2 linked regions of the Drosophila melanogaster genome follow. The gene in region 1 interacts genetically with each later gene. Each region holds a gene or a part of one and is shown on either strand. Other genes may lie near its edges.

What was found.
Region 2: of CG14642 (region 1) and kn, changing one suppresses a phenotype caused by changing the other (phenotypic suppression), as found in Drosophila melanogaster (one study listed by BioGRID).

Annotation. Positions count from the first base shown.
Region 1 is NT_033777.3:4,233,068-4,249,274, reverse strand, and holds CG14642 (uncharacterized protein), read left to right. Parts: upstream 1-6,557; 5' UTR 6,558-6,579; coding exon 6,580-6,937; intron 6,938-7,001; coding exon 7,002-7,117; intron 7,118-7,187; coding exon 7,188-7,297; intron 7,298-7,355; coding exon 7,356-7,520; exon of another isoform or gene 7,521-7,576; coding exon 7,577-8,006; 3' UTR 8,007-8,022; exon of another isoform or gene 8,023-8,075; intron 8,076-8,142; 3' UTR 8,143-8,230; downstream 8,231-16,207. Other genes in the region: TwdlG (TweedleG), read left to right, coding at 1-84, 258-424; TwdlF (TweedleF), read right to left, coding at 1,091-2,131, 2,191-2,214; CG34305 (uncharacterized protein), read left to right, coding at 6,139-6,153, 6,216-6,440; Gel (gelsolin), read right to left, coding at 8,338-8,397, 8,561-8,686, 8,751-10,456, 10,510-10,705, 10,898-10,972, 11,458-11,650, 12,471-12,511; abs (abstrakt), read right to left, coding at 14,287-16,146.
Region 2 is NT_033778.4:14,798,162-14,815,034, reverse strand, and holds the start of kn (knot), read left to right. Parts: upstream 1-7,973; coding exon 7,974-8,185; intron 8,186-16,078; exon of another isoform or gene 16,079-16,411; coding exon 16,412-16,780; intron 16,781-16,873. Other genes in the region: hui (hase und igel), read right to left, coding at 5,152-5,449, 5,512-5,761, 6,392-6,452. UniProt on the Drosophila melanogaster protein: May act as a 'second-level regulator' of head patterning. Required for establishment of the PS(-1)/PS0 parasegmental border and formation of the intercalary segment.

The sequences.
Region 1 (16,207 bases):
CGAAGCAGCCCAGCAAGCCAGAGGTATTTTTCATCAAATACAAGACCCAGGAGGAAGCTGCGCATGCGCAACGTACCATTCAAGGTGAGCAACACCCGCATCGAGCAGATGCTATGAGACACACTTGAAGACCTCATCAGTATGCAACAGACCTCAAATGTTTCGATTTGCAAGCTTCATAGAAATGTCTATCGACCAATTAATCTGGCTTGTCCAAATTTTTATTACCCGATTTTTAACCGATTTACTTCTTTTAGCTCAATATGACCAGCTTGGCGGAACATCACAGGTTTCTGACGAGGGAGTTGCACCCGTTACATCCGTGATTGGCGTACTGGACAACCAGCGCAACAACGGAATTTCATCCGGACAGTTTTCTGGCTCCTTGCCAAACAGCTACTTGCCAACTAATCTGCGTGCTTAGGTACAACTCCAAGGCCACTGTCGTAATTTTAAGACTTGAACTCTTGTAATTTACACATTTAGTTAAATAAAGTTCATATTTTGAGCTCCGCCTTATGATAGAAAGCGACTCTGCAGCCATATTCAAATATGAAATCGAGTTTCAATACTTCAAAGTAACAAAATAGTTTTCTATGGACCATGTTACCACATCCATTAGTCCAATGACAGCCATCCAAGCCGAAAACCGGTCGCATAAATTAGCATGTGATTTGACTTACATAACAACGATTAAGCCACACGAAAACTTGATTATTATGGCTGTTGGCTTAATGCCAAAAGAGATGGTCCAAACTTTCTTGCGAGAAAGAAGTCATTGTCATAGTCTCTTAGCCCATTGAAACATTTTTGTGATAAAAATAAACAGCGTTTTCATAAGAAACATTAAACTCAAGCTATGCCTTAAATGAAAGATTAATTCCAAATCCTAAAACAAAACCTATCTAAAATATTAAAAGGATTAAACTTAAAAACGAGTACTAGAAACAGAAGGCTTTTTGGGTTTCGATTTAAATTTTTTTATATTTCTTTCGACTTTCGACTTTTGCATTAAAAATAAATTAAAATTTACTACAGTATGATGGTTGATATAAAACAATGAAAGCGATAGGATTCTTACTACAACTTTTTAAAAAGTCTTTGCCGGCACATACTTCCTTGATGGCGCCGAGGGAGCGAATGAGGAGGTGGACTTCTGCACAAAGGAGCTCTGCTGCTGGACCCCCTGGACCCCCTGGTTAATAGACTGCAGCTGAACAATGGGCTGACCCTGTGGCTGGATAATGGTTGGCGCCTGAGAGTGGATGATGGTTTGGCCAGCTTGGGAGTGCTGGGGCACAAAGCTGCCCAGGTTAAGGGAGCCACTCGAAACGCTGGCGATGGGAGCCACTCCCTCGTCCGAAATGTGGGTTGCACCTCCCAAGGCGTCGTACTGGGCCTGGATTTCCTGCTGGGCGCGCTGGGCCTCTTCCTGGGTCTTGTACTTAATGAAGTAGACCTCCGGCTTTTGAACCTTGGCCTCAGACTGGGTAACCTGCAGCTGCTGCTGGATCTCAGTGAGATCGGGCTTTTTAGAGAGCACGTAGATGACGGTCTTTTCCTCGTTGCTTGACTGGGCCCGCTTCAGGGCCGCGGCGGTATATTTCAGATTCTGGGAAGGCGCTTTAATGAAGACGATCCGGTAGTTCTTGCGGATGGGCACATTCTCCAGAAGTGGCTCGTCCTGCCGCAGTTCCTCATTCTCCTCGGGGGCGGAGTGGATGTAAATGTCCTTGGTAACGATAGCGGGGCGCTGGACGAACTGGGTCTGAAGGGCTTGCTGCGGTTGCTGCTGGTACACGATTTGCTGAGGCTGCTGCTGCACAGTGCTGATCAGGTTTTGCTGGGGCGAAGCAGTAAGGAAAGTCTCCTTTGGGAGTGAGATCGACAAAGGAGCGGGAGCGGGGGCGGGAGCAGGAGCGGCAACGATGGTCTGCACGGCTTGAATGGCTGGCTGGACACCGATCGCGGGCTGAGCACCGGCCTGTGGGAAAGATGGGACGGCGCCACTTGCGTATATTCCACTTGACGAAATGGGTGTCAGAGGACGAAGATTGCCAATGGGAAGGGCTGGCAGCTGAGGTTGGTACTTGTATCCCTGAGGAGCTGTTGCTGTGAGGGCCACCAGGCACTGCAAGAGCACATTAAGTGTTAGTTGTTGCGGGGATCGCTCATGTGCCAGTTGCTTACCATTAGAACAACGAACTGCTTCATTTTCACTTTGAACTGTCTGAGCTGCTAGGGTCGAATGATGCCCTGCCTTCCCATTGCTATGTTTTTATATCTGTCCAGGCTGGCATCGTTTTCCCAATAAATGAAAAAATTATTAGGCACTACCATAAATCGTATGAATCTATTATAGACTTCACAACTTCGAATATGTAACGTTTCACATTGGCGGTTGCCAAATCACAGATCCGTGTGCGCAGATGCACTGCTTGAACAGTCCGGGATCTTATCTAACTTGGCGACCAACGCTGCGTTCAAATTTAAATAATCGCTTGAGATCCCCATTGTCAACGCTGAATATATTTATATGCAAAATATTAATAGGTAAAGCGGTTCGATTGACAAAACTGGGATAATATGAAGAAAGTAAGTTTTATGGACGGAAACCCAATTTATACACATTCATGACCAAAATTGTGGGAAGCGATCTATCTGCATATAAAATTCGCTTTGTCGCAGATGTTGTATAAATGAATTTGTTATTAAACAAGTCTTTTCAAAAATGCAGAAAAACCAATAAGCTCAAAGATATTTGTGAAAATATGCTCAGTTCTTCAGAAATATAGCACTTCATGGCTTGAATCCAACCTGGAATCATGCTAACAATACTATTGTTATGGGTAATGCTTTTACTTGCTAGTTCAATTGTTTTCTACTTGCACAACGGTAATTGGAAATAATGGGCAATAACGGTAATGGAAATAACGGACAGACGTTCATGGCCAGATCGACTCGGCTATTGATCCTCATCGAGAATATATATACTTTATATGGTTGGATCTGCCTGTTACATAATTTTCAACGAATCTAGTATACCCTTTAACTCTACGAGTAATATAAATATTCTTATAAAGTGTGGTAAAGCGAATTTTGGTCGGCAGTTGAGCGTTAATTAGGCGAGTCGATGTTTTTAAGTTTCAATCGAAAACATTCCAAAAATCAAGTTTTCATTTGACGAAATGAAATAAATTGCCCGTTACTCAGCTAGAGGGAGTGCGAACGAGTAATCGCAACATTTTTTGGGCGGTTTGTTAGCGTTAAAGTGGAGGCAAAACAACATGCCAAAAACCCATCGAAATTGGCAGGAAAAAATTAAAAATATGTTATTTACAATTTTGAACAGTGTGGCAGCTTTTGGCGATTTGTGGGTGTTTGATCTAATCCATCCAGCTTTTATAGAACAGACAGACATGGCCAGATCGACTCGGCCATATGAACGTCGAGATCTCAGGAACTATAGAGGCTAGAGAGTTGAGATCATGTACATAGACGCAGCTTTTTGCCTTGTTAAATTTATTAAATTTTTCCTCAGTTTATTCTCCAATATCTATCGAAATACCAGAAAAGTGGTGAATTGATCTGAGTAACGGGTATCTGATAGTCGGGGAACTCGACTACAGCATTCTTTTTTGTTTTTTGTTTTTACGACTATTAAATACCATAAGTAAGGGGAATTTTATGGCCTGTACAGTTTTGTCGGTACAAAAAACGTTATCTAAGCATGCATAGAATTAAAAATGCCGTTATGTTTTTTAAATAAAGTTGTTTAGCACAAATTATTATTATAGAAAAAACAGATTATCATTGATTCCTATACATATTGTGGTCCCCGTGGCACATTCTTTTTCACTACGTGGACTACGTCCGTAATGATTGCATATAGTCACGGCTAATCTCCTTTCCCGGTAACACGACATTGAAACATAGTGTTATACCAAAGGCACTAATGTCTTCGGTTATATCTTATACTGATTATTTTGCGTTTAAACTAATACTTTTCATGAGAAGGTGGCAAGTACGGGCTTGTCGACGGTGCGTTTACCTTGCGAACGAACGCATTCCCGTCGTCAGTTCCACTTGAAATGACCTTAGACGCAAAGTCCAAGACGGAGACCGAGGCTCCACCGTTGTAGTTGGTTGAAACTCCCGGTAGCAAGTCATACTGGGCTTGGATAGTGCGCTGGGCGTTCTTCGCGTCGCTCTGCGTTCAATACTTCACAAAGTGAACCTCGGGCTTGCGGTTTTTGTTGTTGTTACGGATAGTATTCAGGTTGGTGATCCACTTGCCAATGTTCTCCTGCTTGTTGAGCACGTAAATGGCGATGCGGTCGGCGGACGCGGAGGTGGCCAGCTGGAGCGCCGCCTGCTCCAGTCCCTTGTTATCGGGATCCTTGATAAACAACACAAGCACGTTCTTCTTTATCAAGTGAGCGATCTGCTCGTTGGGGTGGTCATCAAATTCGTGCTCTGGAGCACTGTAGGTGAAGAACTCCTTGGTGAACTCGCTGGCGGGTGCTATAGCCTTAGAAAGCTGGGCGCGCCAATCAGTCCTCCGTGACCATTACCGGCATACGATACTGGAGTGTAGTCGTACTTCCCTCGCGCCATAGGAAAGAGGCTTAGAATCTGAAATTGTTTGATGGTTACACAAAGTGCGGAATAAATGCTTTGTGTTCTTACTAGAAAGATGCGCATCGTGAATACTTGTATCTACTTGTGGGTGGCTAAATACATTTTTTGTGCGGGCAGTTCGGCAGATGGGTTTCCTTTGCCGAAGATTACATTTGGTCGACGCTTTTATACGTTACTGTTCCAGTGGCTTTTCTGATGCAAGCAATCATTTGTAAGATGGAGAATATGCAAATCTATTGAAATTAGGGAGACGTAGGCCTATTTGATAATTCAGCCCATTTTCATTGCATATTATAGAGCAAATAAGGAAGAAGTAACATTATAAATTATAACAAAAAGCTTTGAGAGTTTGTGCGGACATGCCATATAAAATGTTCTCCTAGTGTTCTTTGTAATGATAATTTAAACACATTTTAAATATTTTATATTCTTTATTCGAATGTTACTTTAAAAATGCTCTGATACTTAATTGTAGTATTTGTCATTTTATGCATTTAGGCGAACTTCTTCCTCAACAAAAATGTGCACTTCACGACATATACTTTCAATTCATATTTCTTCAAGTAAAGTTTCCGACTATTTTGTTATCGTTTTTCCATTTTTTAACCTTTTGTTCATTAGTTGATTAACTAATGTACTGCAGAAACAACATTCGCGTATTTGAACCACCTATTTGCTAAACAACTTTTAAGTCATTATAAGTAAGCCACTAATATTCACAAAGGTGTCATATAAAAGCAGTCCGGCGGCCATATAACTGAAAAGCGAGTTTTTTTTTTTTTTTTTGGTAAGTGTCATCAGATGCTTGCTGTTTTTGATAAAATAACTGAAAAACTTGTTTTGCGTCCAACAGAGCACACAGTAAACTCTAAGGGGAAGAGCAAATCGATTTTTAACAAAAAGAAAACATTCACAGAACTACCCATTTTATAGTTCATGTTAAGAATATTTCTCTTGAGAATTGAAAAATTCGCTACATAGAATAATCACTGTATATATATATATATGTACATAATATACAATATATACATGTTTCAAGTTCATCAAAGCAAGTTATCACAGGTTCACACCTAACGAGAATACATGTTTCAACTTAATATTTTATCAATTTATTGAACACTTTTATACTGGATCCCATTAGGTTTTTAATTATGTAAGCATGTTATACACTGCACTATAAAATGTATAGTTCAAATTTAACTGTTTATAATTTTTAATTATAAGTTGATGTCGTAAAAAATGGTTTTAACCACTCAAAACATGTATAGAAAATTTAAATCGCTTGGTTATGAACCCATATCATCTGAGTCATATTTAAATTGGGTTTTGAGTCAATATAAAAAGTGAAATAAAAACATTTTTATGCAACGGCACACATTGATTTTCAAAAATTAAAATATTATTTTCTGTAAGTGCACGCATTGATTGTTTAAGCTTTGTATAAAAGAGATGTATGCAAGGGCGCAAGGCTTAGTCCGTTTTTGAGTTTTCGACAAAATGAAGATACTCAACGTAAGTATGCACAAATTAATGAGCGGAACTGCTCCTAATGGCTCCCATCGCTGTCCACACAGTTCATAATCCTGCTAGTCCTGGTGACCATCGCTCTATCAGCCCCCGCTGCCGCCACAGACAATGCTCCTACGGTATCCGTGCTGCGCTACAAAGATGATCGGGATTTGGCTAATATTCAGCGGGCAATTATTGCGCAGTACGAAAGAATTGGCGGCACCACTAAGGTTCATCAGCCACTGACGGCCAATATCGTCAACCCAGCAAGCCTTGGAATTGTCATTTAATGCTCGTCAAAAATAAATTGTTTGTATTTGTGATTGTTAGCCCCGCTGATAAGACAGAGCTGCGTGCCTTTTGGGATTAACCGACCCGCAGAAGTTTTAGTCTGCTCTTGACACTCGCCGCGTTCGCAGAGCCCTTACGATGCTTCGCAATCTGTCCGTGTGTCTGATATCATTTATCGGGCTCTGGTGCCTGAGCAATACTCACACCCAGCGCCTGCCCCCAGAAGGGCGAATGCGCCCCTTGCAAGACGACTCGATCCGCTCTCCCGTGGACCGCGACATAGTCTTTCCGGAGTTAGACGCGGGACCAGGCAAGCCCGAGGAGAAGATGTGGTTTCACATAACAGACTTTCAATTTGATCGGGTGGAGGGCCCGACCCAGCCCAAGCCCAAGCCCAGACAATACCCCCCGCCGCCGATGCCCGGCCAGCCCTTTCCGCCGCCCCCCGGGGGCTTTAAAAAGAAGGAAAACAAGCAACGCCGCCTCTGCGAGCAAAGTAAGTAATTCGAGTGTTCAGCCATTCGATGGTTCGTGAGTCATTGACTGAGTTTATCACCAAGAATATTCCGAATATGTGGAGCGCATCTTTCCCAATGATACCGCAGTGGCTGCCGATGCCAACGACGCAGACTTCGATGGTCGGGTCCTGGCCCGGCCCGGTGAGTACCCACATATGGTACGAAACTAGGTAGCTGATAAGCCTCTACTGAGGAACTAACCCAAGCCCCTCGAATCTGTTTTCGTAGGCTGCCGTGGGCTTCGAGTCGGACAGAGGGCAAGTGGACTACAAATGTGGCGGCAGCTTGATAAGCGAGAGATTCGTGCTTACCGCAGCCCACTGTACATCCATATACGAGTGAGCATGCCAGTTAGCCCCCTGACCCCCAGTCCCGTGACTGTAATTTTCCTCTTAGGGCGCCCCCCAAGTGGGTTCGCATCGGGGACCTTGACCTGGCCTCCGAGAAGCGGTCGGTGGAGGCCCAGCTGCTTCGGATTGAGCAAGTGTTCGCGCACCCAAATTACAAAAAAAAGATGTACTATGACGACATAGCCCTACTTAAGCTGGAGAAGGAAGTGGAGTGGGTACCCAACAAGACAGAAGTGCGACCGCTGTTTGCTAACACGATTCTCTAAGACTGACGGAATACGTTAGACCTGTCCGCCTGTGGGTCTTTCCAGAGCTGCCCACTACGATAGCCTTCGCAATGGGGTACGGCGCAACGAGCTTCGCCAAGCCCATGACGAACCGCCTCACAAATCTTAACCTGACCGTAGTGCCGAACGCTGAGTGCAACGCCGAGCTGCCGCCTCTTGCTGAAACTCCCAGTGGAGTTCTGGAAAGCCAGATCTGCGCCCAGGACTACATTCTCAACAGAGACACTTGCCAGGGGGACTCGGGTGGACCCCTACAACTGAATTTGCCGGGTCGGCGCCGAGGGCATAGAATACACTATCACCTAATTGGCATCACCTCATACGGCGTGTTCTGCCGCAGTAGTTACCCATCAGTTTACACCAGAGTGTCTTCTTTCTTGGACTGGATCGAACTTACTGTTTGGGCCTGACAGATGCCTACATCAGGTTTGTATGATGTTGATGAAATTTAAGCCAAAATATATATTAAAAGAAATGGTATATTCTTTCCATTTATATTTCGATTCTTCCTATGGCATCTGTGTGTATGTATATGGACCAATCTAGCCCAACAACTATTTTCACAGGAGATATTTAAATACATTGCTACAACATTACACTAGTGAATTGTAAAAATAAATTGTGCTAAACAGTGGCCATATTGAAATTTATTTTAAAGTTATATTAGATAAACATAGGTGTTAGAAAGGCAAAAACAAACATATTTTTTGGTAAATTTTGCTGAGAATTGAATCATTGGTTTTAGACTTCATTGTTGGCATCAATAACAAGTTGCTTCATGTCTTCATAGCTGGGCTGGTTCTACGAGACCAAGAAAAGGGTTAAAAATACATAGAAATTATATAAATCTATTGTGTAGCGACTTTACAATTAAGAGAATAGGCCATCAGCATTAGTAATCAGCTTACTGTACAAGCAAGCAGTTAAACGAAGACAAACTCTAGGTCTGGTTTGGATCACGTACCTGCCAATAATTATCGTCCCAGTTGGGGAACATGCGTTTGAAAACCCTTGGTTCCTTGCCCTGGGGGACGCGAATGATGCTCACCGTGTCGAAGGAGCGGGCGGTAGGCTCTAAATTAAAGTAAAGCTGTAAATCAAGAAAAGACGTATAATTAGACGTGATAGAAAGCGATGGTGGGAAACGAGAAAACCTTTGCCGTGTCCAGAAGCTTCCCATTTTCCTCCTCAGACACGCCATAGCCAACCCAAAGGTAGATCTCATCGCCAGCATCCAGTAGCATTATGTCGTCCGAGTCCAAGTCCTCTTGCTCGTATTGAGCAACTTCTTCAACCTTCAAAAATCCACCAGAGCTCAGATGACAGTGGAAAAGGCGCGACTCCAGCAGTGGAGCTCCATCGTCACCCAAGCTGCGGTCGTACTGGCCTTCGCCGTTTAATTCCTCCCAGAACTCATCTGGCTCGGCACCCTCCTCCACCTGCTCGAGCTCAACGTCGTCCCAGTAGTCAGAAAAGCGATCAACCGCTGCTTGTTTTTCGAAGGCAGATGCGCCCAAGCCATTCCAAATGTAGATTTTGTGGGACTTTCCCGAATGAAGGACGAAGGCATCACTTGAGGCCAAAGATGAGCTGTCGGCGGCCACCTCACTAGCATGAACATCACTTTCGACGGTGCCGCGAATGCGGAAAAGCTGCGCCGTCACCGGAAGTGCAGTAAAGGATGTTAATAACTTCCCCTTAAATATCTTGTAGAAGTGGCGCGGCTCGTGGCCCTGATTGGTCTGGACAAGAAGACCATCCTTGGAACCTACTAGACCCTCCTCAAAAGCACGTTTCCTAGCGGCAGCAGAGGCCTTTACTCCATGCCACACATAGGTTAGAGAACCAGTGTCCCCGTTGTTAGCCTCGTAGTTGTAAGTGAGCACATAAGAGGCAAATCCCAAAAGAGGAAGTTTCTCATCGAAGGGAACGGTGCTGACCACGATCTCATCGGAACCAGGCTTTGCAACGTACTGTGTGATGGTTTCAATAACGTTCTGACCGTGATCCGGCATGAACCCAAAGGCACGACCACCGCTCTTCTTTAGCTGAGTCACCACGGAGTCGATTTCGTCATCGTTTAATAATTCATCGGAGCCGATACCCAGAGCCGAGCGAATAAGGCGACTATGGGACATTCCAGCATCACGCCAGGTGTCAAAGTACTGCTTAAATGGGGCGGACTCGGAGCCCTCTACGATGCGGTGAATTTGGGTCCAGGCCGGGTACTTCTTGGTGCGTAGGAACTCCTGCGCCTTGGCCATGGCGTCCGTCTTCTCCTTCTGAGTGGCGCCTTTTCCGACCCACACAAAAATGCCAGATCCAGTATCCAAAATAAAGCACTCGCGAGTGTCGAGCATAGCCTGAGTGAGTGGTTTTTGTCCAATGATGTCCACCTTCAGCTTGCCGCTGGCGTCGCTGACCTTGTAGAGAGAAACCGCTGCGGCATCTGTCCTCTCGAAGGCACTATCTTCGTCAGCAGTTGACTCATCGGGCACCTGGTCAGCAGAGCCCGATCCCAGCACGTCGAAGAAGTGCTGCTTATCGGCATCAGTGCTGAAGTCGTCGACGATCTGAACACGGGCTCGTCCGTTATGATCCTGGTCCCTGATCTGGTTTGCAGCGCTGATAGCCTTTAGCTTCTCAACGCGCTTGGCCTGGGAGCCTACGTAGACATATATATCGCTGCCGGCATCCAAAATAAAGCAATCACCCGTGTTCATCGACGACACGGAAAGATTCACCTGTCGGACGCGCACGTTTCGCTTGCCCTTGACCTGGAATAGTCGTGTTTCTCCTTGGGCGTTTGTCTCTACATGCTTGAAGCCAGTTCCGACGCCGCCCTGTTCATAGCGAATGCCTACAACAACATTCAGTTTAATGAAACGTCCAAATCGGTTTGACTACTTTTACCGTTTTTGAAATAGCTCAGAAACAGCTGGGACTCGTGGTCCTGCACCTCGCGATGTTGAACAGGGCCACCATTCAGCAAGTCATCCAACTGGACGGTGAGAATAGCTGCAGCTCCGGCCTCATCGGTCGAGGTCTCCAATCCCAGCCAGAAGTGCACATCCCAAGACAGTTTTTTGTCTTTCTTGTTTTCAATTGTCTAAATGAACATAATGATTCGATTTTGGAAAAGTTTATGTGAGGTATTGCAGAAAAATGTAAAGTTTATTACTAAGCTAAGCACAGATGCCTTTTTACATGACTTTGACAAGGTTAAAACCTTCCAGTTGCTAACCAAGCAGTTCACTCCACGCGTTTAATTAAAACTTTAACAATTCAAATGCATACTTACATTAAGAACAATAAACGAGTCCCCAGTGTAAAATTTGCCGTAGTTAGTTTTGGGATATATAACGGGCTCAAAATTCTGAAAAGATAAAAAAAACTATTACCTGATTTCCAGAGAAGATAATTTCCAAAAATGTCTGACTGTTTGGTATAAACATTTATTCTGGTCATCGCCTGATTGTACACAAACGCATCGCATCTCGAACCTAATAAATTTGGCCGATGTTGGAGTTAATTAACAAGAAGGATCAGACGTCTAATGTATACAAGCAATTTCCATATATCTTCTCGGGAAAGATACATTATGTATGTATATTTATAAACACATGGCCGCCACACTGCCCGAATTCCAGAATAGAAGCAAATGTCTGCCGATCTCGAGCTGGCGCGTATCGGGCGCCATCCCTCCGCCTTCGTACCCTTCTCTCCCAGCCTTCTGGGTGCCACTGCATAAGCACCGCACCTATCCCATCGATGTCAGCGCGATCTGCTCCTTACTTACGCTTATTTATTCTATTCCCCGTACCCGGCAAGAGAACAACTAAATCCCAAAATCTGACTCACCTCGATGCGCCAGATTTCCAGGCCGGGAGTACGGCCGGCGTTGGCGAAGGAAGGATGCATCACGCGTCTGGCTGCCTGCTTGCTGTTCTGGCCGCTGGGCTGAATTTCGCCGGATTGTACGGGAAACGCAGGACGGGCGTTGAGGGTGCCGGCTGAGCACAGACTGGACGAGAGGGCCAAAAACACAAGCAGGCTGAAAGAGACAAGCAAAAAGCTATTATGGCAGCTTAATTGACCAAAGATAACAGAACTACTCTAAAAAAATATATATTCCACTAAAGGACTCTTGCGAGTCTATGAGGGTTTTCTCTTGATTAGTATCACCAACAAGTTGTTATAGCCACGTCCGTTTCTCAGCCCGACGCAAAATAGTTTATCAGTTTTTATTCTATCCAAATGATGCGTTCCGAAAAGTCTTCTTTGCAATGCAGGTAGGGTATCACAAAATTTGATATTAAACAGGTGTTTTCTTCGATAGTTCTTTAGTAAACACAACCGAAACTATATTTTTTGAACCAGAAAGATTTCAGTCTGCTACACGAAAGCGACTTTTCTTTTGGATAATACAGGTTTCAGGGAAAAAGGACAATAGGTGGATATGGCTTACAACATTCAGGCACTCTATTCACAATTACGCGCAACTCCAACTGATACACCGCTCTGTAGGGTGTTCAAGACATGAAATTGTGCTCTCTCTCAGCGCAATTAAACTAGATACACCTAAATAGTACATCCGACTGTTTATATGTGAGTCATGACCATAAAAGGCCACAAACTAGGCACACCACAACTGCCACATGGGGCAAACCTGGCGAAACCTAGAAATGAACACAAAAGTCGGGTGTTGAATCACACCGCAGCCACTTTTACGCACTTACTCTATTTGAAACGGCTGTTTTCTCGAATTGGTGTTAGCGATGTCGCGTACGACTGCTAAAGTTTTGTTAAAATTCAGGAACTGAGTACTTATCACCCCAGAGCTTTCTGGACAGCGAACTGCTCGCTTGCATTACCTGGAGAGGACTGCCATTGTGGCGGCGCCGGAGGCATCCATTTCGAGTCTGCCTCTTCTCTGGTCGACGACCGAGGGTTCCGAGGAGCTTTGTTTATTGTTGCGATAAGTATCTGTGAGTCGCAAATAGCGTATATGCCCGATGTGTTTGGGTACGCGATCTTTTGTATTGGCCTTTATTTTTGTCGTAGCGTTGGTTTCTAGTTCAAACAGCGGCAGTTGCTCTTCCAGATTTAAGCAGAGTGTGTGGAAACTGCAAGTAAGAGAATCATCAGGGCAATAAGAGAAGGAAAGATGTTAATATTTTCGAACGAATCGCTGAGCACTGATGTTTAACCGCCAACAAGTACGCGTATGTTATATACAGCCACCCAGAAAACAACGTCTTTAAATAATAATAATTGTCTTCAACAATAAGAGCTTCCCCAAACTCGTTTAAGCTAAACTTCCTGATGGATTTCTTAAATGTGAGTTGTAGAATGCTAAATGATACTTAATATTTCCCGAAAAGTTGTTCTGCTCACCAGCTCCTCTCTTGTATGATATCATGTTTGTATCTCGAGTGCGCTGCTTGATCAGAGCATAATGTTAAGGAGAGCAAAAAAAAAGTGCCGCAAGCGTGTAATCGCATATTGTCATTCAGTTAATTAGTTTCACCTGCGTATGAGATCACGACTGTTTTCGTCAAGCGGCAAGCCCATTTGGCCCTTCCTTGCAACTGGGTCACAGCCAAAAAAAAAGAAATCAGTTTTTATTGAGAACTCAGTATGGGATGGAATCATATAAGATTTTTAAATTATGTCGGCAAGCACATTAGTTCCAATTTGTAAAGGCTTGGGAGCCAGTCAGGAGTACGTCATACGTACTTCGAAATGATACCTATTTGAAATGAAAGTGATGGGCCACAGCATGTTCGGAATAATATTCCGAAGCCGGCCATAAGTTGGACCAGCTTGAATTGGTTGGATAAAGGCAGTTACCCATTTTCCAGTGCCAAAATCATACAAACGGATTCTTGGACAAACCGCGCGCATGGGTAACATTTAAACATTCAAATGTGTATCCAATTATTCAAATCCAATCCAAATGCCAATGAAGTTGGGGATAATTTAACGGAGATAAATTAACCAAATTTTGTAGGTACCATCAATTTAATTTGATCATATTATACAGTGTTATGAATTTATTTTTTCAAGAACACACAGCTTGGTAAAAAGCTAGTGGCTTATCTAATATAAAACCGACCTCAGTTCCGATGATTGTTTTCAAAGCAGTAGATAAGACAAATCAACGACCAATTTAACGAAATGAACTCAGCAAAATAATAGCTTTGAAAGTTGTTAATGTCTATATAATCAGCCTTCAATTGAAATCATTTAGGCTAGTCTGAATTTTACTTTATACTAGAGTAACCTACTATTCTGGGCGATGTTATTACATATTGCTGATAAAACATCATTTAATTTTTGGGGCACACTTACTTGTAAGTCAATACGATCTGCGCAATTTCTCACGATCCCAGTGCGATGATTGAATAAAAGCGCTTCGAACGACAAGCATGCAGAGCTCTGCCTCAGACACTAAACGAAAGCCAAAGCTCGTCTTCGCTTTTATAATATTTTTCTTAAGCCCGAAACGCGCGCGCGTCCGGCCGAGATCGCTCTCTGGGGTTGCTGGGACGATTGATAAGCAAAGCTTCGTGCGATAAGCAGCAAACTGAACTTAAAACAGAGTGAAAATAAATTTAAAAGTTCCCAGAAAAGTATGTATGTATACTAATCTATTTATTACTATTTTAATTTGGTGGTGGTAGTGGTTTAGTAATCCGCAGCGGTGTTAGATAGGTAGTCGCGACGTCCTATGTTTGAAGCTTGCTTGTTCTGAACAGCCTCAAGTTTTGGGCACTCCGTGATGCGATGGCCCAGACCACCACAGTAGGTGCAGCCATGCGAGTCACCCAGGTCCAGGTGCTGGTGTTCGGTCTCAGGTGCCAGTTCGTCCAAGAAGTCCGGGACCTCTTGCTTGCCCTCGATTAGCAGGTGCTTCAGGTCGAGCAGAACCGACTGCTCGGTAGTCTTGTTTATCAGCGTCGTAGCCAATCCCTTAGTGTTGGAACGACCTGTGCGGCCAATACGATGCACATAGTTTTCAATATCGTCCGGCATGTCGTAGTTAATAACGTGTTGCACGTTAGGGAAGTCCAGGCCCTTCGATGCCACGTCGGTGGCCACCAGCACATCTTTTTTGCCCACGCGGTAAGCATCGACTGCCCGCGATCGTTCTTCCTGATCCTTTCCGCCGTGAATAGCCACCGCCTCCACGCCTTTCAACAGCAGATACTCATGTATGCAGTCTACATCCTGCTTCTTCTCAGCAAAAATGAGCACGGGCGGCGCGGTCTTCTGTAGGCAGTCCAGCAAATATACCACCTTTGCCTCTTGCTTAACGTACTCAACCTGTTGGGTGACGTTCATTGACGCAGCACCTGCGCGACCCACATTTATTGTGACAGGCTTCACGAGAGCTGATCGAGCAAAGTTCTGGATCTTTTTTGGCATGGTGGCAGAGAATAAAAGTGTCTGTCGCTGGCCTTTGAAGAAAGAGAATATCGTACGAACGTCCTCTTCAAATCCCATGTCAATCATGCGGTCAGCCTCGTCCATGCACAAGTACCGGCACATGTCCAGCGTAAGGATCTTCTTGTCCAGCATATCCATTAGACGACCAGGGGTCGCCACCACAATATGTACGCCGCGTGAGATGACGTCAAGGGCCTCGCTGACCGGCAAACCACCCATGGCCAGGCAGGAACGAATCTCAGGCATTCCGCATGCCTGGAGGTGCTTGCTGTAGTGTTGAATTATCTCGTGTGTTTGCTTGGCCAGTTCGCGGGACGGGCAAATGATCAGGCCGTAGGGGCCCTCGTTACGCTCAAAAGGCAGACTATACTCCTGTTCCAGGGCAAACATGATGACTGGCAGCACGAAGACAAGCGTTTTTCCAGACCCAGTGAAGGCTATTCCAATTAGGTCGCGGCCGGCTAGTACAGTGGGCAGGCCTTGCACTTGGATTGGGGTCGGGTTCTTAATGCCTTTGGCCGCTAAGCCGTTAAGTATACCTTTAGGGAACTTCATTTCCCGGAAGCTGCGAATTGGCGGGCTGGGGGTTTCTCCCTCCACTAGGATCCTCAACTCGTGGCGAACGGCCTCGCGCTCTTCCTCCGACATTTCCCGAATGTAACGCGGCGGTTTCCAAGCTGTTTTAATAGGCTGCTCGTACTGAATCCCCTTCGCCAACTCTGCCACACCCATAAGGGCCTTCTGCTGAGCAATGCTCTCCATAATCTTTTCCTCCTCTCGCAGCTGCTTTTCGACGGCACTCAACTTTTTGGCCTCGGCAATTTTCTTCAGTTCTGTGTGCTGGTCCAGCAGACTAATGTTGTACTTGCGTCCCCAGGTCTCGACATCGTGCGCACCCTGCGAGTCGTCTTCATTCTCATTCTCGCTTGACGACTTGGGCTGGGCCGTTTCCGAAACCAGTTGCACGATCCTGCCCAGCTTTATCATGTGCTGCTTCTTCCGCTCCTTCACCGGTACGTATGGCACGTAGTCCTCGTTGTCCAGGTCGCCTTCCTCCGAGGACTTAGACGACCTCCGATACCGCTTTACGTGCGCCATAGCATTCGATCTATATTTCTGATTTTTGTTTGTTTCGTTTTCGCCTAATTTGACTACAACA
Region 2 (16,873 bases), on another chromosome or scaffold:
TTTTCGTATGCGGCGAGGGCGCGACGTGTTTTTGATTAGCTTTATTAAATATGCAAACAATGAAAATGCTGTCCTGTATTTTTTTTTTTCACTTTGTTTTTGTGCACAAAAGTGTAAAATTCGTCGGAAGCTTAATTGCCGGAACATTTCTATTAAATAACTCAAAGGTAGATATACATAAAGCAGGGAAAAAAATCAAATAAATTTAATATGCATTGCTTACAATTTTTTCGTTGAGCAGCCACAACCCTCCAGATTTCACGGTAAACAAATTGTTTGTAATGCATTTTAATTTGGTTTGGTTTTTGCTTTCTTGGTCCGGCAATAAATAACATTTTTTTAGACAAATTTGAAGTGAAAATGTGCTCATAACTTAGTTTGGGAACTTTGCCGAGACTGAAAATTTACATGATTTTTCCATGTGACGCAGCTGTATGAATATTTAAAATAAATATTGTTTTTTTTTTTGTTTTTAATTGCCTTGAGAAAACTCCAAAGTCAATTTGGTCAGTTGGTTTCCTTTTTTTGCTCCCATTTCTTTCACCAATAAGAAGCAACGGTTGTCGCTAAGAGAAATTCGATGCTGCTAAGAGAAGACTGAATTGAAAGAGAACTGAACTGCTTTATCGACGGCATGTGAATTGGGTTTGGTTAGCTATTTTTTTTTGCTTGTTAATAGTTGTGATAGCTTTAATTCTTTACAGTCATTCTAATTTAATGCTAAAAAAATGAAAAATTTAAATTCGAAAAATAAGTTTATGGATTTTTAAAATAACAATTTTTGTGCCGATTAAATGGTTTTAAATACCACTAAACTTACAATATATCACGAAAGACTGTCTAAATACGAATGAAAATTTAGATTTATGTTGGCTAAAGGTTTTTGTTGCAATGTCATCTATGCAGGAAGGGGAAATTTTGGGGAGGAGGGTCAGAAAAGTGCGTGAAAAACTGAAAAAGAGTTGCGAGAAAAGCGAATGGAATGGAAAATGCCCCCAGGGAATCGCAACGGAAATCTATGTATGTCTGCATATGGAGATTCTCTTATTGCTCTTATCCCCGCTGCTGTGTTGTTGTTTTCATTTCTGTTGCCATTATTTTGGGTGGAAATTTCACCCTTTTGCAAGGACACTACCTTCCAATTACCCCCCGCATGTGGAAAAGCAGTAACATATATCTAAAGCAGCGGAAAAGTGCACATATTGCATGAAAAAGGGTTCATTAGCAACATCAATTATAGTTGGAGGTCCGAAAAGGTTGGCACAGGATAATTATATTTCAAGGGTTATATATGGGTTATATATGTACATATATATATATATTATAACTTATTATCAGCAGCATTAAAAACTTAAGTTGCTCGCAGCTTTATATGTAAATTTATATAAAATGGTTCATAAGTTGTTCAGTATTTCAATGTATCTTAAATTCGATTCAACGTGGTCTCCTCTTGTCTCTCTGATTTTCATCATTTGTTTGCTTTCAGTTTTTCCATCAATTATTCCCAGCGATTCTGTCAATCTCCCGGGGAACGAGGAAAACTCTCAGACCCTCTGCTTTTCGTTTTCCTCCTTTCGACTGGGCATTGTTTAACAATTAACGGAACAAGTTGTTTAACTTTACCTAAACGATTTAAGTCAACAGAGCGCTTTACTCTGCCTCCTTCACTCAGCTGTATCCTTTATCCTTCGCTCAGTCCGTGGTCAGAATGTCCTCGTCACTTGGTCAACGAGGGAAGGGCGTGGGGGATGCACGGAATCCTGGCGGTGCTTCCGCTTCCGATGACTGCACAAATCGTTGGTCTCCTTTTTTTTTGCAGATCCATTTCCATTTTTTTGCCAGCTTTTTACTCCAGCTCCAGTTGAAATGACAGAAATTTGTCAGGAAACAGTTCGTTTTGTTTGGCTTTCGTTTGACGGCGGCACTCACCTGCACATCCTTCTGCTTCTCAACCTGTCCCTACTGAACTTTTTTGTTTGCCTTGGCTTGAATGTCAAAGAGTGCTTAAGACTGCCGGTCTTTATGGACGCAAAAAAGGTGGCCCAAATACGGGAAATATAAATAGTCGGGTCTAAAACATATCTTACAGTAAAATGTAAAATAAATATATATTATAGAATTAATAGATGTATGTAAATGGATACCATGAAAATGGATAATAACATGCAACTTAGCACATTCATATACATTAATCATTCTCAAACTATTTCGGATATAGTCGTCTCTCATCTAATTCCGAATTGCTTCCAACTGTTGTTGTTCTCAAAAATATCTTATAATTTAATACCATACTACCCTCATTTGGATCATTTTAGATGACGCCCATGCCCCACGATTACTGGCATTTCTGCCCACCCACAGTCAGTTGAGGATTCCCGTGGAACTGGCAGCGTGCGGCTTCAATAATTAAATTTGCGACATTTCAACGCTCCAGCGATCAATGGAATGGAATTAACTGTTGTCAATTATCCGTCGCTGCTTTCATGCCTCTAAATAGCAAATGCAGCAAAAGCAAAAAGCACGAGCACACAAGCACAAGCAGAAGCATCGAAAAAGCACAAGGCAAAGCAAGGATTGCCGACAATAAAATGTCACTTGATCGCTGCATTGGCGCTCGTGTCCAACTGAATTTAGGCATCGCCGGCGGTGGTCACTCCGTGGAAGTTTGCCAATGCGATCGGAACGGTGATGGGAGGGGTTATGCTCAGATACACTCAAAAAAAAATGGTATACACCTAGTCGAAGTGCAACCATTGCTTATGGGTAAAATCGCCTAAAAGACTAACAATATAAATTTGTATTATGAAGTTTCTTTAAGATAAAAGCAAAAGAATAGAATGCTGATTAAATGATCCCATCTTACTTACCAACATTTTTTAAAGTGTATCTAGCGTAGATGGAACAGAGGCAGGGTGATGCCAGTGGTGGTGATGGTGGCTACCTGACCAGGTGGCGTCGATCTACCGCAACGCTTGGCCACACAAGAAGCTTAATTTGTTGCAAGTTGTCCGCTGTCTCCGCTTGACTCCCCATCAATCAGCGAGCGATTCTTCAACTGGAATGGTGCAAGAACAAGCAGAAGAATTGCTTTTTGCGACAGTACCGTTTCATCGAAAATTCAGAGCACGCCAACTGAAACATGTTCTCTTGATTTCCCTCTTTATCTAGCTCTCAAGAATTAAGCTTTCATTGAAGACCGCAAAAGCCACTAATTATTCACTGCTTAAAACCAGCTTAATTAATAATAACAATTACAATTAGGCCGATAAACATGGTTACGGAAATCTTTTGACTCTAGATGTACTTACAAGGGCTCACATGGCTTACCTACCTTAGCTAACTAACTACGATAGCAAAAGGTTTATTTATAATTCGCTTGGTATTGTCTGAAGTGTATAATTAGATATGCCATTTCTAAGAATATTTTGCTATGAGTTTGAATGAAAAGAATGGTAGAAGAGGATGAAGAGAAACATCATAGCCAAAACCTGATTTTGAATTGGGAGAGTGGCTAAGTCAAAGGTTGAGTCGTGCAATTAAGACTTGAATGAGCCATTCACTAATTTTAGTTATTTAGTAATTTCAGAAATTCTTCTTAGTTTTATAAATGATAAATATTGCAATTAAGGTACCTATACACTGGCATACATTATTTTCAACACGGAACTCCAAATTGTGCTAAGGCTAATCATAATTTATGCAAAGCTGAAAGTTTTCAGTACTTATGATGGAATAATCTATTCAACTTCTTAACCTTCTGGTGGCCCTCCCACAATTAACCCTTATCCGTGCTCCACACATGCCAACCATGCTCTAATGAAAATCTATCTCGCTGAAAGCGTAAATTCATTACACTTTCTCAATTATGTGAGATACATTTTAAACAAAGCAGCCGGGAAAAACCTCATCTTAATCAAGTAAATTAATAGCAGCGAGAAGGAGCGAGTTGCCAGTCAGAGATCAAAGTAATTAATTATAATAATTAAAAACTTTTCAGCATTCCCTGTCTCGCTCACTTCATCACGCCGAAGTTACCACAAACTTTACAGCATTTGGCATGTGAGTGTGAGAGAGATGGATTGTTTGTTCAAAAGTGCGTGCACCTGTTGAGATTTCGGCAATTCCCCAAGCAAATCCCATATTCACATCTTGTTCGGAACATCGCCACCCGCCATTTTCTACGTATTTTCCCCGTTTCATATTCTTCGTGGTGAAACTAGTAGTTTTTGTCACTACCGCTTTTGTTGTCTTAGAGTGCACTAGTTTTTTAATCATCGCTAACAGCCTTGGAGGCTGTAAAGTTCCACTTGGCTGCCCTAATACACTAAAAGCATTTACCAACACTGCCTGCCACGCCCCCTGAAACACGCCCGATTAACCCCCACACGCCCACCGGCAATTGTTTGTGCTCATCGGTGCAAGCACTCGGCACATATCGCCATCTCTTTCCAACTGACAGTGGCGTACGCAGGATAAAAAGGGGTCACGAAACACCTGCGATGATTTATAATATATTTGAAGATTATAGAAAGTAAAAAAACTAAACAAAGGTATAATGAAATTCTGAAATATACTAACATTATTGAAAATTTCCTATAAGTCAAGTAAACATTTCGGAAGTGCTACTAATGTTTTGTAACTTGTTTTGTCTTTTGTGATGGTTAAAGGGTTTTTAAAAGGCAACATCTTTAATTATTTTCTTTCGATTCTTTAACTCTACTGACTACATTGTGCATATTCGTATTGATCCCCTTGAACCGAAACCCTGGTACGCCCCTGGTTCATTCGAAACATCCATCACTTTTTGCTGCGAAGTGAAAGAGGATGAAGGATATAGGATGCAGATGCAGGTTACAGGATGGAACTTTTAAGATATGGTATGTGGGATGCAATCATCTAGAGTGGGCAAAACAAAAAAAGAACACTTCAGATGCGGAAACCGCAATGAATACACTGCGACATCTGCAAGGGGCGTGGCAGTGCGCCCAATTGGAAGCAATTAATCCCACAAACCAAATGGCAAGCGAAAAAAGCAAAGTTCTTTGCGAGCTCTTATTTCTGAGTTCATAACAAATATCCTGTTAAGAAGGCACCGTGTCAGTTAATTTACTGTAATTTATTAAAGTTTACACTCGAAAAAAAACCTATGTTCTATTTGGATGAGTAAGTGGATTCGGTCTTCTTGATATTGAGAACGCCGTTGGAATCGGTGGCACCCTGGATGTTGGTCACCTTCTGGTTGCCACTGGCATCGACAACGGCCACGGTCTGCTGGATTTGGGTGGCGGGAATGGGTCCAACTCCGGAGATGTGCTGATAGCTACCGGTGCTTCCTACTCCGCTGTTGCTGCTGATGGAGGCTGCGCTGGTGTAGCCATTGTAGGTGGGATAATAGTTGTCGCCTCCAGTTAAGGAGCTCTCGCCGAAACGCTCATCAAAGGACACACCACTGGAAATTAAAACGATCATTAGTGATCATCAATAGAAGTCCTCATTTTCCAGTTAACTCACCCAAGCACTGGAGCAGCGGCCTGCTGGGTGTAAGAGGAGCCAGAATGACCGGAGCCATCGGCATTCTGAACGCTGTGTGAGGCGTAGGTGAAGACGTTTCCTCCACTGGAGGACGAGGAGGATGATGACGAGGAAGACGAACTGGACTGACGACGCAGACGCCTCAGGAGATGGGCATTCACGGGATGGACATTCGACTGGTGGCCCTCCGAGTCCAAGGTGAAGAAGGCACGGGGCAGAAACTGGCCAGCTGTATGAATAAAGAGCAATGAATTCAGCGATAAGTATCTGAAATCTATGAATATAGCTTTAAAGCTTAGATTTCGTTCACATCTCGCCCTTATTTACCACGATTAAATATTTTATGAACTTTTACTATTGAATTTATTTTTAATATTATGAAAACCTTTGAATAATTACATATACTTAGCATATATACCATGCAGATTTATTCCAAGTTTTTTATGATAATGCTAATCCCAAAAGTATGCTTATAAATCTCAAACATTCAACAATGGCAATTTCTTTTTTGAGTGTGAAAGTTTGTCCACTCAGCGATCGCGTGAATAATCAAACGTAATGCTGATTTTGAATAGCCATATTTTAGGAATCGTAATAAAAAGCGAATTTGTTGTGCGGAAAGTTTTGCTGGACAAACATTGTCGCAAAGTTAATGAGCTACGCGAATTTCACAAACCAGTTTGGGTTTCCGGATGGGTTCGATAGGTTTTTGGGTATTATTAACATACTAGCACCCGTCGACCGACTTGTTAATTCAATTAATAATAAACACGATAGCAGCTCCGACTAGCGATGATGTAAGTGCACAATCCGGCTTAAGCTCTCCTCAAATTATACTCAAATTTGCTTTTTTGCTCACCGGAAGAGGCCGAAGCGGTAGTAATCGCAAACAAAGCGATGGCAATCACAGCGTACTTCATTGTGAAGCGGTATGGATCTGTAAGAACACACACTTCGTCACTTAGTAGGGTTAATTCAGCGGTTAGGGGTATGCAGAGGGGCCTATCTGCGGTTAAGCACTCACAAAGACGAAACGAAAGACTGAGGCAGCGAACGCGTGAAAAGTTCCAAAACGACTAAGCTCGCGGTGCGGCTCCCTAGCGCTTATATATGGAAATTTCGAATGCTGACGCAGTGCGAACCATCTACATCATTATCATCTAAAGCTGGAAGAACAAGCAGAAGCCGTCAAACAGGCAGAAGAGTTGGGCAAATAACTCCACCGGTAGGTAGACTGAACAATAAACAAATACAGAAAAAAAAACAAGAGGCAGGCATTTAAAGTTTCTTAAAACCTCTGGCTGTGGCTCATAAACGTAAAGTTAGGCTCAATGATTCATAAGGTTAAATACTATCACATCTCTCAGTTAATTTCCCCTCTCTGCAGCAGAGTTTATCTCACATATAAATCCACCCAAAAAGTTAATGATTATGGGAAATAAACACATGACGAAGCAGCGAAGCGCCAACGGGGAATTTCTGTTCTGTTTGTTTTCACTTTATTTGTATTTCGCATTATATATTCGAACGCCAAACTGTTTTGGCCAGCTCGTGTAAATTGGCCAAGTGCCCTCGCTTTTTCTTATTGTACTTTTTTTGTACCCAGTCTGCGCCTTGAGCTCTGCTTTTGACCCGATTCGTGTTTTTGGCAATAAAGAACTTCTCGAACTTCTTCTCTTGGGCTTGGGGCAATAACCTGATTACAACGTGGCCAACACCTAACAAACGGAGTTTCAGAGAAATATTATGCATTATACATACATTGCCGATCATAAAGCTAAACTATATATACTCATTTGTTTAATGGCTGGCATGCGTCCACTAATTATAATATTTTGTGAATTTTAATAATATTATGCCTCGCTCGGTTTTACCGCTCCATCTGTTTGAAACAAAACTGGTTTTGATGGGATTTTCGATTGATCTTGCTCGACGAAATGAAAACAAATTTTGTTATTTAATTTTACATTATCATATATGTATATTCCAGGAAATCCTTTCAATTAACCGGTTATTTGGGGATTATTGTTTTTAATTGCCTAAAATAAATCTAAGGCTTTGATCAATCAAGAAATAATTGAAGACAAGTTGTGCAACACAAATTATATTGCATATACACATTTTGCACGTTTTGCTGATAGAAGTAGGGTATTTCTAACAAGTACAATTAAATAGACATATGTACTTTTTTCAGTAAAATATTACCAATTTTTCACGCACTACTTAAGCCAATCTACCACCTTAATTCCGTTTTTTTTCTTTTGAACACATGAAAAAATTCAATTCCTTAGATTTATATTAATCTAATTGAAATCCACAAATTTGTTGCCATTTGTTGTGCAGAAGTATTTTTGAATTTCGCACACGTTCGTTGGCAAAAATATGTACAAATATTGAATACGAAAAAGTCAAGGAAAAATTCCATTCTTTTTCTCGCAAAAATGGTGACAGAGCAAAATGCTGACCGCCGCCTACTAGGAAAAATAATCCCCAGCCGATTTGAACGATTTATTATTTGGCCCAGCCAACTCGGAGCCTGTCCCGGAATACCCGGAACCATTAATCATCCGAGTCCAGATCCAAGTCCGAGTCCGAGTGGTGGACAGGCGGCATTGCAATTGGTGGACATTTTGGAGTGGAAGAAACTTTTGCGGTACGTGGCAACGTGTTGAAATTACAAAATGTGTTAAAAAATGAAAGAGCAGGGCGGGTAAAAAGCAAAATAATATATTTCATTCACACACAGACTTTTGTCTCTGCTCCGCCGTCCATATAAAAAACATAAATTTCCTTTGAGAATAGAACTTCTGGGATGGAGAGGGGGGGGGGGGGGTGCAAGGTGATTATGTTTGACAGCCGACTTGGGACACGAAGCACCGCCCCCTTTTTCATCGCCAAACAGGACATGGGTATTAGATCCTGGCCAAAGTGCCAAAACTGGCCTCACTTTCCGTCTGATTTACGGCCAACTATTTTGTTTAAATTTTTACCACTTCCCTGCTATCGACACTCAACTTAAAACATATAAAACCAACTATTTAAAGAGCAAATAAAGTTCAATTTGATTTTCTTTGGCCTTCGTTAATAATTTTCCTGCATCTCTCTGGGGATCAGCGAAAAATATGAATTATTGAAACAGCTGAAGGAAATAATATAACCAAATCGGAAGGCCAAATCTGTTTAATGTTTCAGATATGTTGGTGTGGGTTGACCAAATGACAATATGCTTTTTAGCTTCAACCTCCCTCAAGCGAAATTGATTTTCATGGTTTTTCTGTTTTTTCGCCTAAAAATACACAAAAGAGTCGAAAAAATTTGACTGTGATTGTCACTTGAATGTGTGGGTTGGGAAAACCACTCCAAATCCACTTCACCAAATATGTCAGTATGGAATCACGAACCTCGCTTGATTTCTCCAGTGATTTTTCGCAATCAGCCTGATGAGGATGTGCCGAGAACGTTGCTCATGGAGGCAGTGCTATGATTAGTATCCTTTCAGCCAGGTCAAAAGTGACGCTGCCGCATGCCAAGTGGCCTCGGCCAAATGAAACTTTAATGCGAAACAAGGACAAAAGGCTGAAAGAAGGCTGCCTGATGAACTACGTGATGGTCAGACAAATTGAAGTTACACTGGAAAATAATTAGCTAATTTCCTAGTTTGCTTAGGTTAAGGGATTAAGTAAGAATGTGTTTAAAGGACTCTTTTATAGGTAACTTGTTACTCTAAAGAAAACTTATCCACAGAATAGATGTGCTATTTTATCGCAGTGTATGTGGATAGTCAACGACAAAGTGAAATGCATTGAGGTTGGTGGCGAACAAACGCGACCTGAATCGCGAATTGGAATAGCCAGCCTACTCCGCCCCCTCAGGATATATAGCTACTTCGACTAGCATATGCGCCAGATAGTATAGCTGGCGTATCAATTTCGATAATGTACTTGGACCGCGAGTATCTTTATTATCCTGACTGCTGTGCAATTATTTCCGACTGCTTTACTGTCGTACCGCTTTTCCGAGTCCTGGGAAACGCAAACAAAGGATATTTCGCGCACACGCCTCGGACATGATTGCATCCGGGCAGGAAGCATTGCGTCGTGTCCTTTTTGCATCCTTACATCGTCGCTTCCTTCCTGCCGATCAGAACCCCTGGCTGCTTTTCATCCGCAATTTTCACGCCCACTTTGTTTGATGATGACAAATCTCGTTGCGTGTTATCAGATTGGCCAACTTTCCGTTGCTATTCCCCCTCGTATTGCATAATTATGTTTATCTTTGGAAGCTGCGCTCCTGCCACGTGTCCTTGCGTTTTGGTTAGCTTCCTGCGATTTTGCTCGGAACGAGTGGCACGTGCTAATCGGCGGTCGTCTGCACCGCCCATGCAACCAGCCACCCCCCCTGGTAAGTGCAACCCCGCCTAACATGTCCGATAATTGAAATCGCTAAGCTGAACAACGGAATCGAAATGGCTTCATTAATCAGGTCACTTCGATGGCAGCGCATAATGTTCTTCAAAAATTTGAATTGGGGGCGGTTGAAAAGAGGAAATTGGTCTATATAGCACTTAGCGCGATTGAATTTGCTCATTTTGTGTTACCTAATTGGGGAAAAGATGTTTCGGTTATTAATCATGAGTGATACTTACTATTGTATTACAAAAATGGTGCATATATCAGAAGATATATATTATTAATAGATCTTAAGGAGCATTTGTATCCATTCACCAAAATATGGTAAAAATAAAGCTTAAATTAAATTTGCTCATTTACCTTTAAGGACATCCTTTGCTTAATGAGTGCACTCATGCCCACACCCACTCGCAACCGAATGAGTGTCGCCCTGCGGACGCATAAATTATAAATAAAAGCCTCACACACGTGGAGAAAGAGAGGTGTATATAACCTTAGAGAGAGAGAGAGAGGGAGAGCTACAGTCTGAGGCCAAGAAGTGTGCTAAATATTTAAGTACTTAAAACCATAAACCTGAGTATTTATAAATTGGCTTTAACAAGCTCGTATGTGACGGTGGTTGGGTGTGTGTCTGTGGGCTGACCCTTTTTTCGGGCACAAGGATCTGCTCGACTCGATTCCATTCATTAGAAATGCTCACTAATGTGCCCGACTTAATAATAATCAAATTTATATGCATGGTTATGTCCTTTAGAGCAGGACCACAAAACTGAAGTTTCGAGTGGATTGCGAATGGGATTGGCTGTTAAGTTTACGGAGAAACCTTTGAGAATGAGACGAAGATAATATGTCAATATCCTTGTTTTCCAAAATGTCTGACCAAAAGTGCAGATGTCCAGTATCGAAACACGCCCAAGACCGGTACCGTTATTCTGCTACCAGTTTTCTTGTTTGTTTTTGTTTGTTAGCCAGCTTGTTTGTGGCCGACACTGAGACCAAAAAGGCCAAAAAGGTCGCCCCCTCGGGATTTCCTTAGTCCTGCTGCCAGCTTCTTCCTTCCACATTCTTTTTGGGGGTCCGATGAGATTTGAAAATTTCACAAAAATTAATTAGGAATGCTGGCATCCATGTTGTGATAGGCTAGTTCTTTTCTAGCCTAGCAACATTTTTGATGTGACTAAAGAGAATCATCTTTATGGCCACACCCGGAATACTCATTCTTCAAACAACAAGCGACAATAAAAACAAATTACAATTGCAACAATGGCAGCGGCAGCAAAACATTTGAGACATTTTCCCCACACACACACACAGACACACACATACTTCAGTTAAATGAACATTTGCAGGACCTAGATATTTATTTATTACAGGGGTTGCACTGCAGGAGCATTAACCCCTTACTGCCCACGGCAGTCTCGAGCAACGGAGGACTGAAAAAATTGAAATAAATTACCAAAACTAAAGGCAACAACTGTTCGCATAATGAAGTCAAATTATATTTGTGCCTAAGTGCACTGAGAGAAATTTAATATAACCTATGATTTACACGATCGATTTTCGATCTTTGCAACATTTTTTGAGTGAAACTAGGAAACCCTTTACAAGCGAGATCTTGCAGTTCTTTAGTTTCTAAGCATTATTCTAGTATTTTAAAATATATTTTCCTTTGTTCTGGTCTTAATTTATTATAACTAATGAATATTTTCCGTCTGTGTATTCGGAAAAGGGGGAGTTGGAACATATAAAGATGGGGTGCAGAAAAGATGATCAGGGAAGGTGTGAGTGGTTCAAACTAGCTGGGCGTTTGGATAGCGAAGGGTGCGTCCTTTGCTGGTCCTTCGAATTATGCAAATCGTCTGCACTTCAGATACTACTACCCCTACAAAAAAAAAAAACGAAGAGAAAACCCCCTACAAACAAACGTATTAGTGTCATCGAGCATTTGCCAAGCCATTTCATTGACACGTAGAACACCTTTTTCGTCCACTTCGTATGATGTTATCATTTAATTCTTGGGGAATTAACACGGACATTGTCAACCGTAAATGAGCTAATTAATCTAGTAAATGTGTCGCAGCTCATTCCACAATTTCTCTACTACTTGAGAGCGAGGAGTGGGTTCGCGTTTTTGTGGTTCTCCAGAGGATCCCCAATGCTGACACGCTTCTCCAGGTGGCCGAGGAGTGGGAAATGGAAAATGGGCAGGGTTTGCCCCTCGGGGAGCTGCACTAAAACCCCAAATGAGATGCATGAATTCCTCTTCGCCGACAAGCAGCTCATAAAAGTTAACATCGAAGTATTTACAGCATATTTTGGGGAAACTTCAACTTGGAATTTGATTAAATGCAAACTACTTGAAAACATACAACTTCAAATCAAGTATGTACAATTTTAAATCAAGTAGATCTCTTTGAATTTATTGATTTGCTTAACCAACTTAAGTTTCCTTAACTTCTCTTATTTTTGTGTATTTTGGCTAACTATTTTTGGCCACAAATCGATCTTTGGTCGCGCCAAAGTTAATGAACCAACCGCACTTTTCCAATCTCGCATTTGATGCGTTGGATTCCACATATTTGGCCAGACTGAAAAATAATTTCATGTTTATGGCCACGTTGTTTTCACCGGCCACAAAAATGCTTATCGAACGCCGGAGATCGCCAAGCGAGAGACTTGTAAATATTTATGATTTTTTGCGATTTTTATTCGACTGATAAACGAGTTTTTCCCATCGCACAGTTGCGATGTGCGAAAATGTTTTGTGGGAAGAAATTGTGCACCTAGCCCATACGATTCGATTCACCTTCTGTTTGTTGGAATAATAAATCTGTAGAAAGGTTGTTGTATTTTTAGAAGACTCCATCCCCCTTTGTTATTCTTATGTAAACGAAACCTTTTTCCTACACACATAGCTGCATAGTAAGTTACCCTCATGAGAACGTTTAGGCCGTGAATATTGGGTAAATATTTAAACTGGTTGCGATTGTTTTGGCAAAATCGTTGCAGTTGGTCAAACACGTGTTTGAGATAATTTAATTAAATTTACTTGGCTTTTTTAACCCGTGCCACGTGCCACTCGAGTCCAGTTTGCTGCCCTCGAAATGGAGTGGCAAACACTTGAGCACTTGCTTTAAAAATGCGGCAAGTGCATTTGGGTTGGGTGGGTAGTTTAGCTTGGTTTTGGCTGGCTGGTGAAAATTCCTAGGAATCGAAAACTTTGGTGGTCTTCGGACGGCAGACAATGCAACAATGTCATACGTACTTGGATGAATCGCTGGCATCTGTCGCAGTCCGTGGAGAATAGACCGAAATTCCCCCGAACTCACGAGCATGATGTGGCGATGATGACTTGTGGAAATCAAGCAATGATTTCCACTCCATCTGTAACTAAATATGATTTATTTTCACGGTGTGTGTTAGCCGCTCTCGCCCCTCTCATTAGTCGGGGCACCGGGGTAATTTGCATAAGTGTCCTGGCCCCAGGAACCAAAGGACACACTCGAGAGCGAGCTGGAAACTAATTAAAATGTTCGCGCCTCAAATTTCCTTCGCTCGCCCTTATTTATGACCCTGTGAATGTCTTGCATATGGACGGAGTTGAGATCCTTCTCGTTTTCTTCCTTTTTTTGTTTACGAGTGACAAATGGGACATTTACATGCGAGTCAGTTTGCATATTGGAATTATTCATGGTTTCTTTAAAGATGGCGCAGGATGTGATGTCGCGGGAAAAGGATGAGGGTTTCCTCAAGGAAGTCGGAAATAGAAGTGGTTTCTTTTCATGCTACCAATATGGGGGCACATAAAACTTGCATTTGATGAGCTAAATGTAAACATACACTATTTAAATACATTTTTTATGATAAGTGAACTTAAAGTCACACTAACTTTTGAAAATTTGATTGACTTCTACAATGTGTGTTGTTTAATTTCTTATTTTATATTTTTTTAAATATCGAAAATCTACAAATCCGCTTATGTTTAAAAGTCAAGCCGCTGGCTAATTGACAAAATGTGTAATTGTGGCGATGAGAGTCCTTCCGATTGTCACTCTCCCAACCCTCCGTAATCCCCTAAGTCACCATAGGGGTTGGGTAAAAATCAAATGCGGAGAATGTACCAACAAATTATTTAGCAATTGGCTAGTGCGCTAGTCCGGCGCCATGTAAATCCAATTGTAAACAATTTGAATCAAATTCCGGGGGCATCGCCACCGAAAGGGGGTGGCATGGGTTAAAGGGTCATGGTGTTCCATGACAGCTGTCGCGGCCGGGAAACTCCACTGAGGATTGGGCGTGATAAAAGGGGTTAATCGAACACGCGGACCACAGCTTTTGGATCGGGGAATTTTCTTCACCTTTGCCGAAAAAGAAAATTTATTTGTCAAAGGGCGTGGAATTTCCTTCTGGTTATTTTGGTTAATTAGCGATGTCTGGGGACATCTTCAGTCTGCTCTTTTCGCCTTTGATTTACACATAAAATTTTGTGCGACCTAGCAGCTCTGGGGAAATGTTTCCAGAACTTCTCAAAAATAGACCAACAAGTGTGGGTGTGGGGAAAATTCGGGAAAAAGAGTTGCCGTCTTGTGGTTAACGGAGTTTTCGGTCCTTGTCAGAAGTTAATGAGATTACCACGCCCCCCCAAATTAATTCACGGAAAAGTCAAACAAGCTCTCTCTCTTTCCCTCGTCCATTCAATCGGTCACAGGCAGAAACCGCAAATGCGGAAAATGCAAATTGTTTTTCATGCGAACCCAGAACCTCAAAAACCAATGCCATCCCCTGACCTTTTTTCACCTTTTGTTCTCCTAACGAGGCGTGAAAATTTTGTGGGCGGTTCCGGTAACTAATCCCTTGCTGGTGGAAGAGAAAGAGGAAGAGGCATTTGGATGCGAAGGGTATGCCTATAGGCACTCAACTCTGTTTGACAACTTCTTCTGCCTAAATTATGTGCGAAAGTCAGAAGGGTTAAACCCGAAAATGATGACTAATCAAGTCTGTGCTTACAACAAATTTATAAAACAAAAGGCAAGATATAAAGGGAAGAAAGTGAACTATGAAACAAACAACAGGATTACAACTGCCTTTACGTACATATAACTATAACTTCATATCGCAAAACATTATGAATGTAATTATGTACGTTCGTTATACATGTAATAGAAAAGCGATACATCATTAAATGTATTAATGTGTTATTTTTTATCTAAAAAGTCACAGAAGAATTCAATACTTAAAATTAAATAAAAATTCTAATTATAATTATACAATAAAAATAAATTTTAAATTGAATGAGGGACCTATGCCTGCAGTTTCTCCATTTTCACGACTGAATATTTTTCGACATTCAAATCTGCAGTTCCACTATTTCTCCGCCGTTCCGCGTAGCTATGCGCTGCTTGGTTTTTGAACTGCTTTGCCGACAGCTAAAGAGAATCGACGCTCTCTCTTGAAATCGCACACCCAACTGGCCAATCAGGTTTGAGCACTGCACACAATGGCATTTGCCTTTTGGGCTCCCCAGAGATTTTGGTTTTGGTTTTGGGTTTTAGTTACCGTTTGGCTTGTGTGTTTTGTTTTTCGGTGCCTTGTGTTTGCTGCCTTTGGCTTTGTCTTTGCAGGCGTTGACACTTTGGTTTCCCAAAAGAGCTGAACCGAAGGTGCCTGGGAATAGAGAATAAAGCCAAGCTGAAATGGAGACCCGAGATCCCAAAACCGAGATCCTAGACACACGCCCCCTTCGATTGGGGACGTCGTTGCGCTGGTTCCATTCGCACCGTTCCTAGGGGGCTGCTCTCACTCGCTCCCGCTCGCTCCCATTAGGATGCCATAGGATGGTGGTGGGTTCTTTTTTCTGCTGACAGCTTTGCGTCTCTCCACGGGATTGGCCATTGGACTGCCGCCAACCCCCACCCCCTCCGGCACGCTCTCTCCGCTCTCCCAGTGGCGCAGACTCGTTTCGTTTCCATTTTCGAAACTCTCGTTGGCCTGCCGTTTTACCCTGCTTCTACTGCTACTGCTTCTTTCGCTACGGCCGCCTTTGTGGCTCTGCTGCGTCGCTGCCGCTATTGCTGCTGCTGCTGCGCCGTCGCCGCCGCTTCTTTTCGACTGCTGCAGCAGCATCGCTTGGCAAGGATTCAGTTGGGGTTTAACAGCCACTCGGGACGGTAGCGCGCGCCGCTCAAACTTGTTGCGAGACCAATTTTCCGAAAATCCCAAATTCTCTACGGTGCATTGGCCAGTTCACCCAAAAACACCCACACACACACACACACAGACTGTCTCACTTTCGTTTCGCGATTGATTGCCAGCTCTCCGGAGACCAAGAACCAAAATAATAGAAAAGGGAACCCAATACCAATACGACGCCGCAAACCGATCGAGTTATAAATACAATACGCAAATAAAAAACTAAACAAACAGTAAAACGCCTAGCAAAGAGCCTTCAAAACGGCAGCCACAATTTCCAGCGCAGGATTAGGAGGAGACGTAGCCGCGTACGCTGATCTCCACCAGCACTCGCATTCGCACCATCCGAATCCGCATCCACATCCGCATCCCCATCCGTTCGCCACCGACGGCTTCAAGCTGCGTTCCGAAGAGCCGGTGCCGGGCTTCAGCTCGGCCTCCCCCTGGCCCACCCTGGAGCTGGGCATGGAGTGGGGCCGGAAGCTGTACCCCAGTGCCGTTTCCGGTCCGCGATCCGCCGGCGGCCTGATGTTCGGCCTGCCGCCCACCGCCGCTGTGGACATGAACCAGCCGCGCGGTCCGATGACCTCGCTGAAGGAGGAGCCGCTGGGCAGCCGGTGGGCCATGCAGCCAGTCGTTGACCAGAGCAAGTAAGTAAAGGGATTGGGTTGAATTGTGAACGGAAAATGGCCCAACAAAGTGATTTTCCCAGTGCTGAAATCAAAACCCTTGGACATATCTAC